4 linked regions of the Saccharomyces cerevisiae S288C genome follow. Changing the gene in region 2 together with the main gene of any one other region gives a genetic interaction. Each region holds a gene or a part of one and is shown on either strand. Other genes may lie near its edges.

What was found.
Region 1: mutations in YGR035C (region 2) and PFS1 together harm fitness more than expected from each alone (negative genetic interaction), as found in Saccharomyces cerevisiae (2 studies listed by BioGRID).
Region 3: mutations in YGR035C (region 2) and RSO55 together harm fitness less than expected from each alone (positive genetic interaction), as found in Saccharomyces cerevisiae (one large-scale study listed by BioGRID).
Region 4: mutations in YGR035C (region 2) and YOL131W together harm fitness more than expected from each alone (negative genetic interaction), as found in Saccharomyces cerevisiae (one large-scale study listed by BioGRID).

Annotation. Positions count from the first base shown.
Region 1 is NC_001140.6:474,127-476,940, reverse strand, and holds PFS1 (Pfs1p), read left to right. Parts: upstream 1-1,600; coding exon 1,601-2,314; downstream 2,315-2,814. Other genes in the region: ubiquitin-binding TORC1 subunit KOG1, read left to right, coding at 1-942; SSP1 (Ssp1p), read right to left, coding at 2,482-2,814. UniProt on the Saccharomyces cerevisiae protein: Involved in the pathway that organizes the shaping and sizing of the prospore membrane (PSM) during sporulation. Required to localize MPC54 to all four spindle pole bodies, and localize DON1 and SPO14 to four prospore membranes.
Region 2 is NC_001139.9:556,498-559,276, forward strand, and holds YGR035C (uncharacterized protein), read right to left. Parts: upstream 926-2,779; coding exon 575-925; downstream 1-574. Other genes in the region: 60S ribosomal protein uL24 RPL26B, read left to right, coding at 1-175; YGR035W-A (uncharacterized protein), read left to right, coding at 1,068-1,289; CAX4 (dolichyldiphosphatase), read right to left, coding at 1,652-2,371.
Region 3 is NC_001144.5:703,930-706,544, forward strand, and holds RSO55 (Rso55p), read right to left. Parts: upstream 1,032-2,615; coding exon 564-1,031; downstream 1-563. Other genes in the region: YLR278C (uncharacterized protein), read right to left, coding at 1-95; PUT7 (Put7p), read left to right, coding at 1,257-2,201; ECI1 (dodecenoyl-CoA isomerase), read right to left, coding at 2,269-2,615.
Region 4 is NC_001147.6:71,309-73,879, forward strand, and holds YOL131W (uncharacterized protein), read left to right. Parts: upstream 1-1,722; coding exon 1,723-2,049; downstream 2,050-2,571. Other genes in the region: GAS4 (1,3-beta-glucanosyltransferase), read left to right, coding at 1-1,407.

The sequences.
Region 1 (2,814 bases), on a different chromosome or scaffold from region 2:
TCCAAATTCTCCAATGGTACTCCTTTTGGCACAAAAGTTACTGACCTGAAACTCATTAACGAGGATGACTCCGCCCTTTTATTGACAGGTTCTTCAGACGGTGTTATCAAAATATACAGAGACTACCAAGATGTCGACACCTTTAAAATTGTATCCGCCTGGAGAGGCTTGACCGATATGTTATTGACACCTAGATCCACAGGTTTACTAACCGAATGGTTACAAATAAGAGGATCATTGTTAACAACTGGTGATGTTAAGGTTATCCGTGTCTGGGATGCGCATACAGAAACGGTTGAAGTGGACATTCCTGCAAAAACATCATCTTTAATTACATCCTTGACGGCTGATCAGCTAGCAGGTAATATCTTCGTAGCAGGGTTTGCAGATGGCTCCCTGAGAGTATATGATCGCCGTCTCGATCCAAGAGATTCCATGATACGTCGCTGGAGAGCTGGAAATGATAAGCAGGGAGTTTGGATTAACAATGTTCATTTACAAAGAGGTGGTTACAGAGAATTGGTCAGTGGAGCTACCAATGGTGTTGTAGAGTTATGGGATATAAGGTCCGAAGATCCGGTAGAATCGTTTGTTGATCAAAACGTAACTTCTCAGTACGGTTCGCAACAAAAACCAACGACAATGACGTGCATGCAGGTTCATGAGCATGCTCCGATAATTGCGACAGGGACTAAACAAATAAAGATATGGACGACATCTGGAGATCTTTTGAATTCTTTTAAAAACTCACATAATAATGGCGTAACAAGTACATTAGCCGCTACGGGAATCCCAAAGTCACTGTCCTACTCTTCCACTTCTGATGCATTTTTATCTTCGATGGCTTTCCATCCTCATAGAATGATGATTGCGGCCACCAATTCTCACGATTCTATTGTAAATATCTACAAGTGTGAAGACGAGAGAATTGATTATTTTTGATATGTGCCATTTCTTTTTTTTTCTTTCATTTAGCTGCAAAAGAGATATATATATATATATATATATAATCTATTATATAATAAAAGTCGAGTAAAAAATTGGTCTGATTGTGAATTTAACAGCTGGTCGCAAGTTCTGGAATTTGTTGTTAATTATTGTTTCATGTTCGTATAATAATACGATGTTTAGTAAAGCAGAAAGTTCAGAATATTAAAAGTCTGTTCCAATAGTGTAGCGGCTATCACGTTGCCTTCACACGGCAAAGGTCCCGAGTTCGATCCTCGGTTGGAACATTTTAACATCGATTTTTTTGTTTGTCATAGCCAGACCAATTACGACGTTTAGAGGCATGCACTTTGTTAAATATTTTTTCTCTCTCCTTCGACATATTTTTTTTCCTGTTTACGTAACATTCATCCCCAGTCTTTGTATCATTTTTTTTTTTTTTTGGTGATGCGACAGCAATTCTGGCCGACACAGTCGTTTTCAAAGAAAAACTACCACAAACTATGGAACATAATTGAAAACAAAAACATTTACTTATAACCTACATAATGATTGAAGATACTTCATTGATCTTTACCACCTTCCTCGTTGAAATCTTTTCTACCATAGTCAGTATTTTTGGGAATTTTATAAAAACGCAAATTTTATCGAAATGAATCAAGGTTACACACAGCTTTCCGCACCGGAACTGAAGGAGACTAAAACATCGAAGCTAAATAAAATGAACAACTTTCGAAGCTCTCCGATTGCTGAGATAATTAATAAGATACCACCAGATTGCGGGAAGATACAGAATACAACATTTCCTGAGTTCAATCCAGCGTTAAGAAGACGACAACACGAACAGTGGCCTGCATACGAAAAACCAATAAGAGTTACTGACAGTATGTCACCACAGCTTTCTTCAATCAATTGTTTGCCAAATTTGTATCCCCACGGTACGCTACCATTACCAAACCCTTATTTATCCTATTTAAATCACATTGAAAAAGTTAATTGCCAAGATGTCAAGTTTAGTAACTGGAGTGTTTTACATAATTCGAATAATGGATTTGAAATTCCGACATATTTCAGTCCACGGACAACACAAAACATGCCTTGTTCCGAAAAAGTTGAAAGCTGGCTTGAAAGATTACCAATTTTTGTGGGGTTCGACGGTTATTTATTTACAAACTGCTTTGATTATGAATATATGTTGGATTGGGAAGAGACAGAATTTACATTCGAGAAAACATCATGTATGGAGACGGATTATTCTAAAGCTTTAACCGATACTGATATTATATATATTCAAGAGAAAAAAATTGAAGCGTTGATAAGAAACCAATATCTGAAGGAGTATGAATTTTCTCAAAAAGATTTTTGAATTTTGAAGAAAGCCATTAATATTTAAATGTAATTTTGTGTAGAATTATAATAAATTGATGTTTATGTATAGATCTCTCGAAATATATTTAAGAATATATAAATAATAAATGTACAACAATAAGCATAGAACATGGAATGAGTGTTCAAACTATATTCGTTTGTTTTTTAGATAGGAGTTCTCCAGACGTTTTCATCCAAGTTTTGTTTTGCATCATTTAAAGCTGCAGCAAGAACTTTGCTTTCTTCACTTGCAGACTCCGGTTTGACTTGAGTTTTTTTAATGGAAAGATTCCTCAAACTAGCGGCATTGACATTTACATTTCTTTTCGTGCTTCTTAAAATCAAGGAATCATTTGATTCGAGATTCTCCTTCTTTATTTCAGGTTGCGATATCGATGGAACTTCTGCAGTTGAAGAGCTGATATTTTTTGCCTCTTTCTCTTCTTTTTCCTGAGCGAGAAGTTCAACTAATTGATCGGGCTCAAGTTCTTTCGCAGA
Region 2 (2,779 bases):
TTCATCTGTTTACAGATTGAAGTTTGCTGTTCAAGTTGACAAGGTCACCAAGGAAAAGGTCAACGGTGCTTCCGTTCCAATTAACTTGCACCCATCCAAGCTTGTTATCACTAAGTTACACTTGGACAAGGACAGAAAGGCTTTGATCCAAAGAAAGGGTGGTAAATTGGAATAAACTAGCTCGACTTTAACATAGATCATACAAAAAATACAATAAATAAATCCTGTGTTTCTTTTATGTATATTTTTTATCAATTTCAATTTAGTTTAGTTTAGTTTCTTTAAAAATAAAATTGTAATTTCTCACATTCTGCCTTCGGGTCTCAAGGGCTGGTTGGTAGACGAATGCGCTTGTTTCTAGCTGAGCGGCAGATGCATGAATTCAATGCAAGAAAATGAGAAAACTTCCAATATTAAAATGTGATTGTTAATTATTAGTATATTTATGACAATATATATATGTACATAGGGTGATTATGAAGATGAGTAAGATGCGAATGGATATGAGGATATGAATCTTTTTAGAGACAATGAAGATGCAAAGAAGTAGTTAAGCACATTGACCTCAGGGTTGCTATATGCTACTTTTAGTCCGTTGGATTTCTGAAGCAGTATTGGCCACAAAAATTTCTTCATTATTTCTACGATTAGAGTTTCTTCTGGATTTTTCTCGTCCCTGAGACTTACTCCTTTTCAAGTCATTTTCAGCAGCAGCTTTGATTAAATCATATCTTGTGATTTTACTTGGAGAGCTATTGTGATGGGAACTTTGTCTGCATGTGACTGTATTAGTCAGAGATGTTATGGGCTTAACCATAAGGGAAGAAACTATGGCACGCATGAATGAATTACTGCTTTTACTGCTGTCATCTGTTGAGTTTGCTGAGTCTTCCGTTCTTGTAGTCTTGGCTGGTGTGAGTAACATTACGTATTGTTTCTGTAGAGAAGATAACTTATAACTTCCGTCTTGTCACTAGTTGTTTTAATTATATGTTTGTTACAAGTTTTTATGTATAGATATATGTTACAACTTTTAGAAGTATTGTGGACATAACAGAGAGAAGGGAATGTTGCTATATTTATATATTTTATATATTGCCCTCAAAACTGTATCTCATCTTTTTTTCTGCAATCCTTGCTTTCGTAATCTAAGTGTGGGTGACATGCTAAATCCGCGGCTTTCCTTAAGCTTTTTCACAAACCATCTATTATGTCCAGAAGCTCCGCTGATTATCCGTGGAAAAGGGTCTTATTCTGCCGTAGGAAACTTCTTCTCGAGAAAAAAGTGAGTTCACCCGCGGCGCTCTCGTAAAACCCGAGGGCCGATTCTTTCCCTCCGTGGAACAATCGGCCCCGCGGCGTCAGAGGGTATTATCTCCGCAAGTGATAGAACTCACATTTATTCTACGTTCTGCATGGTTTTGATTATCTTCTTTTGCACGATGTCACATACTTTTTCGATTACCGTCGCTTTACACAGTAACTGTTTAAAACGAGCGTTCTTAATTAATAACTGTAGGAGAGCAGGCTTTCGGCTTTCTTTATGAGAAATAAGGACTACTCCAGCTTGCCAAGTTTTATCCAGTTACACAAACGCTCAAGATCGCCTCGCTAAAATAGATGAAAAAATAAGAAAAATGAAATGTTCAACCTAATCCCTTTTGGATTTATCATTGAAAGATCGCTGATTTATTCTTTTCCAATACGCCTCGTAATTCTCTTTCAATGTCAAAGGCGCCAGATTGTAAGAATCTGTCATGTAAAATAATCTGACAATACGTAGTTTTAAAAACCAATTGATTAAACCAAGCTCTCTTATGATGCCAACTATAAAAAAATAAAGTGATCCAGTCAGTGCCCCCACGCTGAATCCCACGATTACTTGATCTAAATTGTGGTAGTGCAAGTAAACTCTGGAAAAGCAAACGCAAAACGATAATAAAGCCAATGCACCAGAAAAAATGCATTTTTCTAAGAAGTTTAGATTCTTCCAGGAAGTGTATATCTTCAGAGAGTTATAGGTAAAACAAAACCCCATGAATTGGGAGTGTGCACTGGGCATCCCGTAACCGGATCTTATAGTGTCATTTTGGAACGACGCACCGAACGATACGGGGCGTGGCTGTTTTATTATATTCTTGATCACGTTATTGAATATTTCGTTCATCAATTGGCCAAAGGCTACAATGCAGGCTTCTAACTCTCTTGTGATGATAAACCACGACAAATAAAAAGCTAGCACTAGGATGGGCATCAGCGAGAAATATGCACTAAGGAATGATAGAAAGTCATGCGAATCATAGAGAATGTATGTGTCATCGAATGGTATAACATTTGGATTTGGATTTATTGCAGCGGCGGTACTATTCATGATATGATCCGATTCAAAACAAATTTTGATGTAGATAAAATGCCTGGTATAATGAGTGGTAGAGAAGAAAATTAGACGAAAAGAATGAGAACGAAGAAATGATTTAAAGTGATCACAGTGGCAATCACTTTCCCCTTTTTAACGCGTGTTGAGCAATCGATTGATGTCTCTACCATATGTAGCATTTTCTCAGAAGGCAAACTTTTCTTTTTCTTTCTACTTTTCCAACAAGAAATTTTAAGTTTTCCCAGAAACCCGAATTCTCCTATTTCATCCACCACGTAAGAACGGTTTTCTTCCTGGCGTAATTAAAAGCATAAAGAAAAACTGAACAAGCTCTAGATGTAGATCAGGGTATACATGGTGCGCTTCAGTAAGTGTACTGTACCACTAGTTTGGCGTCTGTCA
Region 3 (2,615 bases), on a different chromosome or scaffold from region 2:
TGCAACAAGACGTCTGTCCTGTTACCGGCCAGCTCCAGTTCTCTCTTCAACTGTTGTATTTTCTCCTGGCTAACATTCTTCCTTGGACGGCCCATTATTATTTACGTGTATTGTTGGTAGTTAGCCCGAAGATTATGAGTACGTGAAATACACTTGTCTTTATGAAAGAGTGGAAAAATGGTGGGGAGTAAGTTATACTATTGACGTGTAAAAAAAAAAAAAAAAAAATGTTAATGGAACGACCGATCTAAAGAACCATATATAATGAATGACTAAAAAAAGCAAAATAGTTAAGAATCCAAGAAAGATACTAAGAAAAGGCGAAAAGAAAAAGAAAAAGTATGTCCGCTAACAAAGATTAGCGTATAAGCACCACACGATGCGATTCAGGTCTCAACGTGCAGTGTGCAGGAGCAGGAACTATTCAATGTATTGTTGTTCCAGGGTTTTTGTTCGCAACCCACGTCTTGACCGACGGTACCCGCAGGTGAAAATTTTAGCAAAGTTACACTTTTTTTTTCATTTTTTTTTTTCTTTTCTCCTCCATCTAATTTCACCTGCGGTTACCGGCGGAATAACTCGCGCACCATTTCTCTGTCTCGGGCCTCGCGTTCCTCTTTTTCGACTCGAGCGGCCTCTTCACGCTGCTCGTACTTCGCGACGCTGCGCCGGCGCTGCGAGCGTTTCTGTTGACGGTGCCACTGTAGAAGCGCCTCCTCTCTGGACGGCATCGTGTCGTACGACGCCGCAAGTTCGCGCGCGAGCTTAAGCCGGGCAAGCTTTCGATTTTGCTCACGTGACCGCGTTTCTTGGCACTCGACAACGATCCCAGTGGGTTCATGCCGTAGTTGTACCTTAGAATTACACTTATTAATCTTTTGGCCACCGGGCCCTCTGCCGCCATGAAGGAATTTCTCAGTGCATTGTGCTTCCATCTCTGGCGTGAACTTTGGTCGCGGTGGTAGCTTGTTCTTTTTAATCAGCAGCACTGCGGCACTGCTGATTGACCTCTTACTCGCTCCCCTCATCATAGTTTACTAGTCTCGGATTCTTCTGCGCTTTTTCCAGGGTCGCATAGCTTGTAGGTTGGTAGCATAGACTTATATATAAACTCATATCCGTTCTAGGAACGTATAGCGCGCTATGGTAGTCCGGGGAAAATGCACAGTTTAGTTAAGTGTATAGTAATTTTATCGATAAAGGAAGAATGGAAGAGGTTTATGTATACATGTAAACTCTGAACATCTAATAGACTAATGATGCGGTTAATACGTACATTGCCGCTTCGATGCTTCAAAACTAGAATACGGCGGCAAGGCTCGTTGTTGTGTTTGCGGTGCTTTAGTTCGTATTCAAAACCACTTTTGCAGAAATCAATGTCATTGAAAAATATCCAGTTATCAGACCTATCCTCATCGCCATTATCCAAGAACAAGGAGAAGCAGGAGAAGCCAGAGAAGGAAAACGAAGGAAAGCACTCCATTGGCCTGTTAGACAGATTTTCAGAGGACTTTATTACTCAGGGCAATGGATTGAAACCTACTACTTCACAAAATCAATTGGATACTATAAAGTTTTATCAAATGCTTCGTGAAAGAGGCAATTTTTCCGATGAACAATGTAAAATTATCATAGCTCTATTGTTGCAACTACTAAATGATCAGTTTTATTCCTGTTACAATGATTTGTTCTTAAGGGATATGGAGCTGAATAAACAATCACATTTGTTCAGCTCGCTAGAAACAGAATTGAAATTCGCAATTCAAAACTCTAGAGACACGCAACTAAATGAGCACCACTTGCAATTATTAAAACTCAAGAGAGAACTTAACTCAATCCATGATGAACTGAATGAAATCATAATAGATCTTTTGCAAAAGGACGCTAAATTAGAATTTAACAATCAAAAATTAGAAAACACCCTTTTGTATCGACAATTAAACCTGAAATTGAACGACTGTTCTAACAAGATTCAAACCAAGATACTGGGGGATATCAGGTCACATATCGAAAATTTAAGATGGCAGACAACCAGAAGCGGTCTTTTGGTAATATTAGTCCTTGTTTGTTCGATTATGATCGGTGTAAGCGCATCTAAGAAGGAACGCCCAGGTTTACAGGAACCTGAGGAACCTGAAATTTTAGCACCAAAGGAAGACATTGATACTACCTTCCCTCAAGATCAACATGATATAGATTAATTAGCATACATATTGTCTGTACATAAGTATATTGTGTGTGCGTTTTGTTTCACTGAGAAAGCGGACGTCATAAACGATGCTTCCTTTGTTTCGAGCCCAGCTGCCTAAATCTTTTTAAGGGCTCTCCATCTACCCAATACTTGAGAGATTCATTTACTTCCACTGAGTTAGCCTTATTGAATGCATCGATGTGGTTCGATTTCAGCAATTTTTTCATCCCTAAGCAACTGGGCAGGTATAGCCCTTTCACTTTCTCCCTCAATTCTTCTAAGACCTTTGCATTGAACGCTTCAGCGTTTGAAGATGGCATGTTAAAATTCTTGCTTATAAATCCGTTCTCGCACATTATATCGTACTTGAATGGTTTGTTGAACATGAGGCATTCATACGTCGTATTTGTGCCAAACTTCAATG
Region 4 (2,571 bases), on a different chromosome or scaffold from region 2:
TTTTCGAGCACCTTTATTTTTCTAATTTTGGAGTTAGTTGTACTGTGTGAAGCTTCAGTCCACACCATTCAAATTAAGGACAAGCATTTCGTTGACACAGTGACTGGAAAACCATTCTTCATCAAAGGTGTGGATTATCAGCCAGGAGGCTCTTCCGACGTTAGTGAAAAGCAGGATCCGTTATCCAATCCAGATGCATGCGCTCGTGATATTTTATTATTTCAAGAATTGGGAATAAACACAGTAAGAATTTATTCTATAAACCCGGACCTGAACCATGATGCGTGCATGACTATGCTCGCAATGGCAGGTATCTATCTTATATTGGATGTCAATTCCCCATTGCAAAACCAGCACTTAAACAGATATGAACCTTGGACTACCTATAATGAAGTTTATTTAGAACACGTTTTCAAGGTTGTCGAACAATTTTCTCATTACAATAATACTTTAGGATTTTTTGCTGGGAATGAAATTGTAAACGACAAAAGATCAGCACAATATTCTCCTGCCTATGTCAAGGAGTTGATTGGAACTATGAAGAATTACATAAGCGCACACTCGCCCAGAACAATTCCGGTAGGTTACTCTGCTGCAGATGACCTGAACTATAGGGTATCACTGTCCGAATATTTGGAGTGTAAAGATGATGATAAGCCAGAGAATAGCGTTGATTTTTACGGAGTTAACTCCTACCAATGGTGTGGCCAACAAACTATGCAAACTTCAGGGTACGATACATTGGTGGATGCTTACAGGAGCTATTCCAAGCCAGTTTTTTTTTCAGAATTTGGATGCAATAAAGTATTGCCAAGGCAATTCCAGGAAATAGGTTATTTGTTTTCTGAGGAGATGTATTCAGTATTCTGTGGAGGTCTGGTTTACGAATTTTCACAGGAGGATAATAATTATGGGTTAGTTGAATATCAAGAAGATGATTCAGTACAGCTCTTAGCAGATTTTGAGAAGCTTAAATCGCACTACCAAAACATTGAGTTTCCTTCTATGAAGACTTTAAAGGAAACTGTTCAGATGGAGGAGACGCCATCATGTGCGGAAGATTATGAAAATTTGAAGATTGAATCTAAAATTGCTAAAAATTTAGGAAGTTCTTTGATAAAAAAAGGCGTGAAAGTTGAAAAAGGCAAATACATAGATATTCACGAGGATCAGCTGTCCACCAATGTCACGATTTTAGACAAGCATGGTGACAGATGGAATGGGCCCAAAAAGATTGAAATTAGGCAAAGCCTGACATTGGCAGACCTGGAAGGAGAAGAACAAGAAGACGCAGATGAAGACAAAGATGATTTAAAACGAAAACACCGGAATTCTGCCTCTATTTCCGGCCCATTGTTACCTCTTGGGTTGTGTTTGCTTTTTTTTACTTTTAGTTTATTTTTTTAGACTTTAATGTCGTTCTCCCTTTTTAAAGAGTAAATACATATTTAAAAAAGTGACTATGGCTATTGCTAAACGTGATAAAAATCAGAGCCTATAACACTCTCTGAAATAACGCTATGCAGGAATTTCCAGTTAAGTTCTTCTTGGGGTGACTTCTTTACTCGGTATGATATGTGTTTTATATGCACAGTACGAGTCCATTAGGGTAAATTAGTGGCCGAGAAACTTTTGCCGCCGAGCTTTTAAGTATCCTTTTGCCACTTCTTATTTAGATAAAGACCTGGCAGTAGTAGTCGTAGAAGATAAGATAGACAGAGAATGAATACTAATAAGATAGCACAAGACGAAGTCCAAGATAAGGTTTTGCAAAGAGCAGAACTAGCACATTCTGTATGGAACTTAAGGTTCAACCTCAGTAAAGTTGCCAAACGGATTCGCATGGAAACAAAGGTATTTCCAGAGATAAAGATAAATGACGCGCAATCACAGTTAGAGCGATCTAGGTGTAGAATATTTAGCCCTGACCTGGAGGAAGAACATGTGCCCTTGATTCAAGGCTTTAAATGTTTGGATTCACCCCCTCCCGTTCCACCAAGCTCATCGCAGGGGGAGGATGAAGAGAACACGGTAGATTCGCAATACTAGGAAATTAGAACCGAATCAAAATAGTTCCGATCCTAACTTTTCTACTAATCTTTGAGATTTTATCTCATTAACTCTTTGACCAAGCTATGAAATGCGTAAGATGAACTTTTGTTTGAGAGTGTTAAGTATTTAGGCGTCTACGCTATGATAGCCTCACTCTAGGACGACTGCTTTTTTGGAACAACTTGTTGTTCTCCGATGGTATATTGTGTGTTTATGTATTGTTCTACGTACTCCTCCGTCTCTTTTTCGAGGGCAACGCTTTGAACTAGTATTTTCCGTTATAGTATGTCCCCCCTATATGCAACCCCTTGAATGGACGAATCTCTAAAATATACAACCTTTTCCTCTATAGGAAACAAGTAGGGTCTTCTACGCTAAGGATTACATAACGCATGTATCAAAAACTGATTTTAATTGATTAATTTCAAAATGTCAGCGTAGGTTCACCTAGACTTGTTTTATAGCTCCATTCAACTGGCGGTAGACACAACTAAAGCCAAAAATTGCCTAAAAATTTCA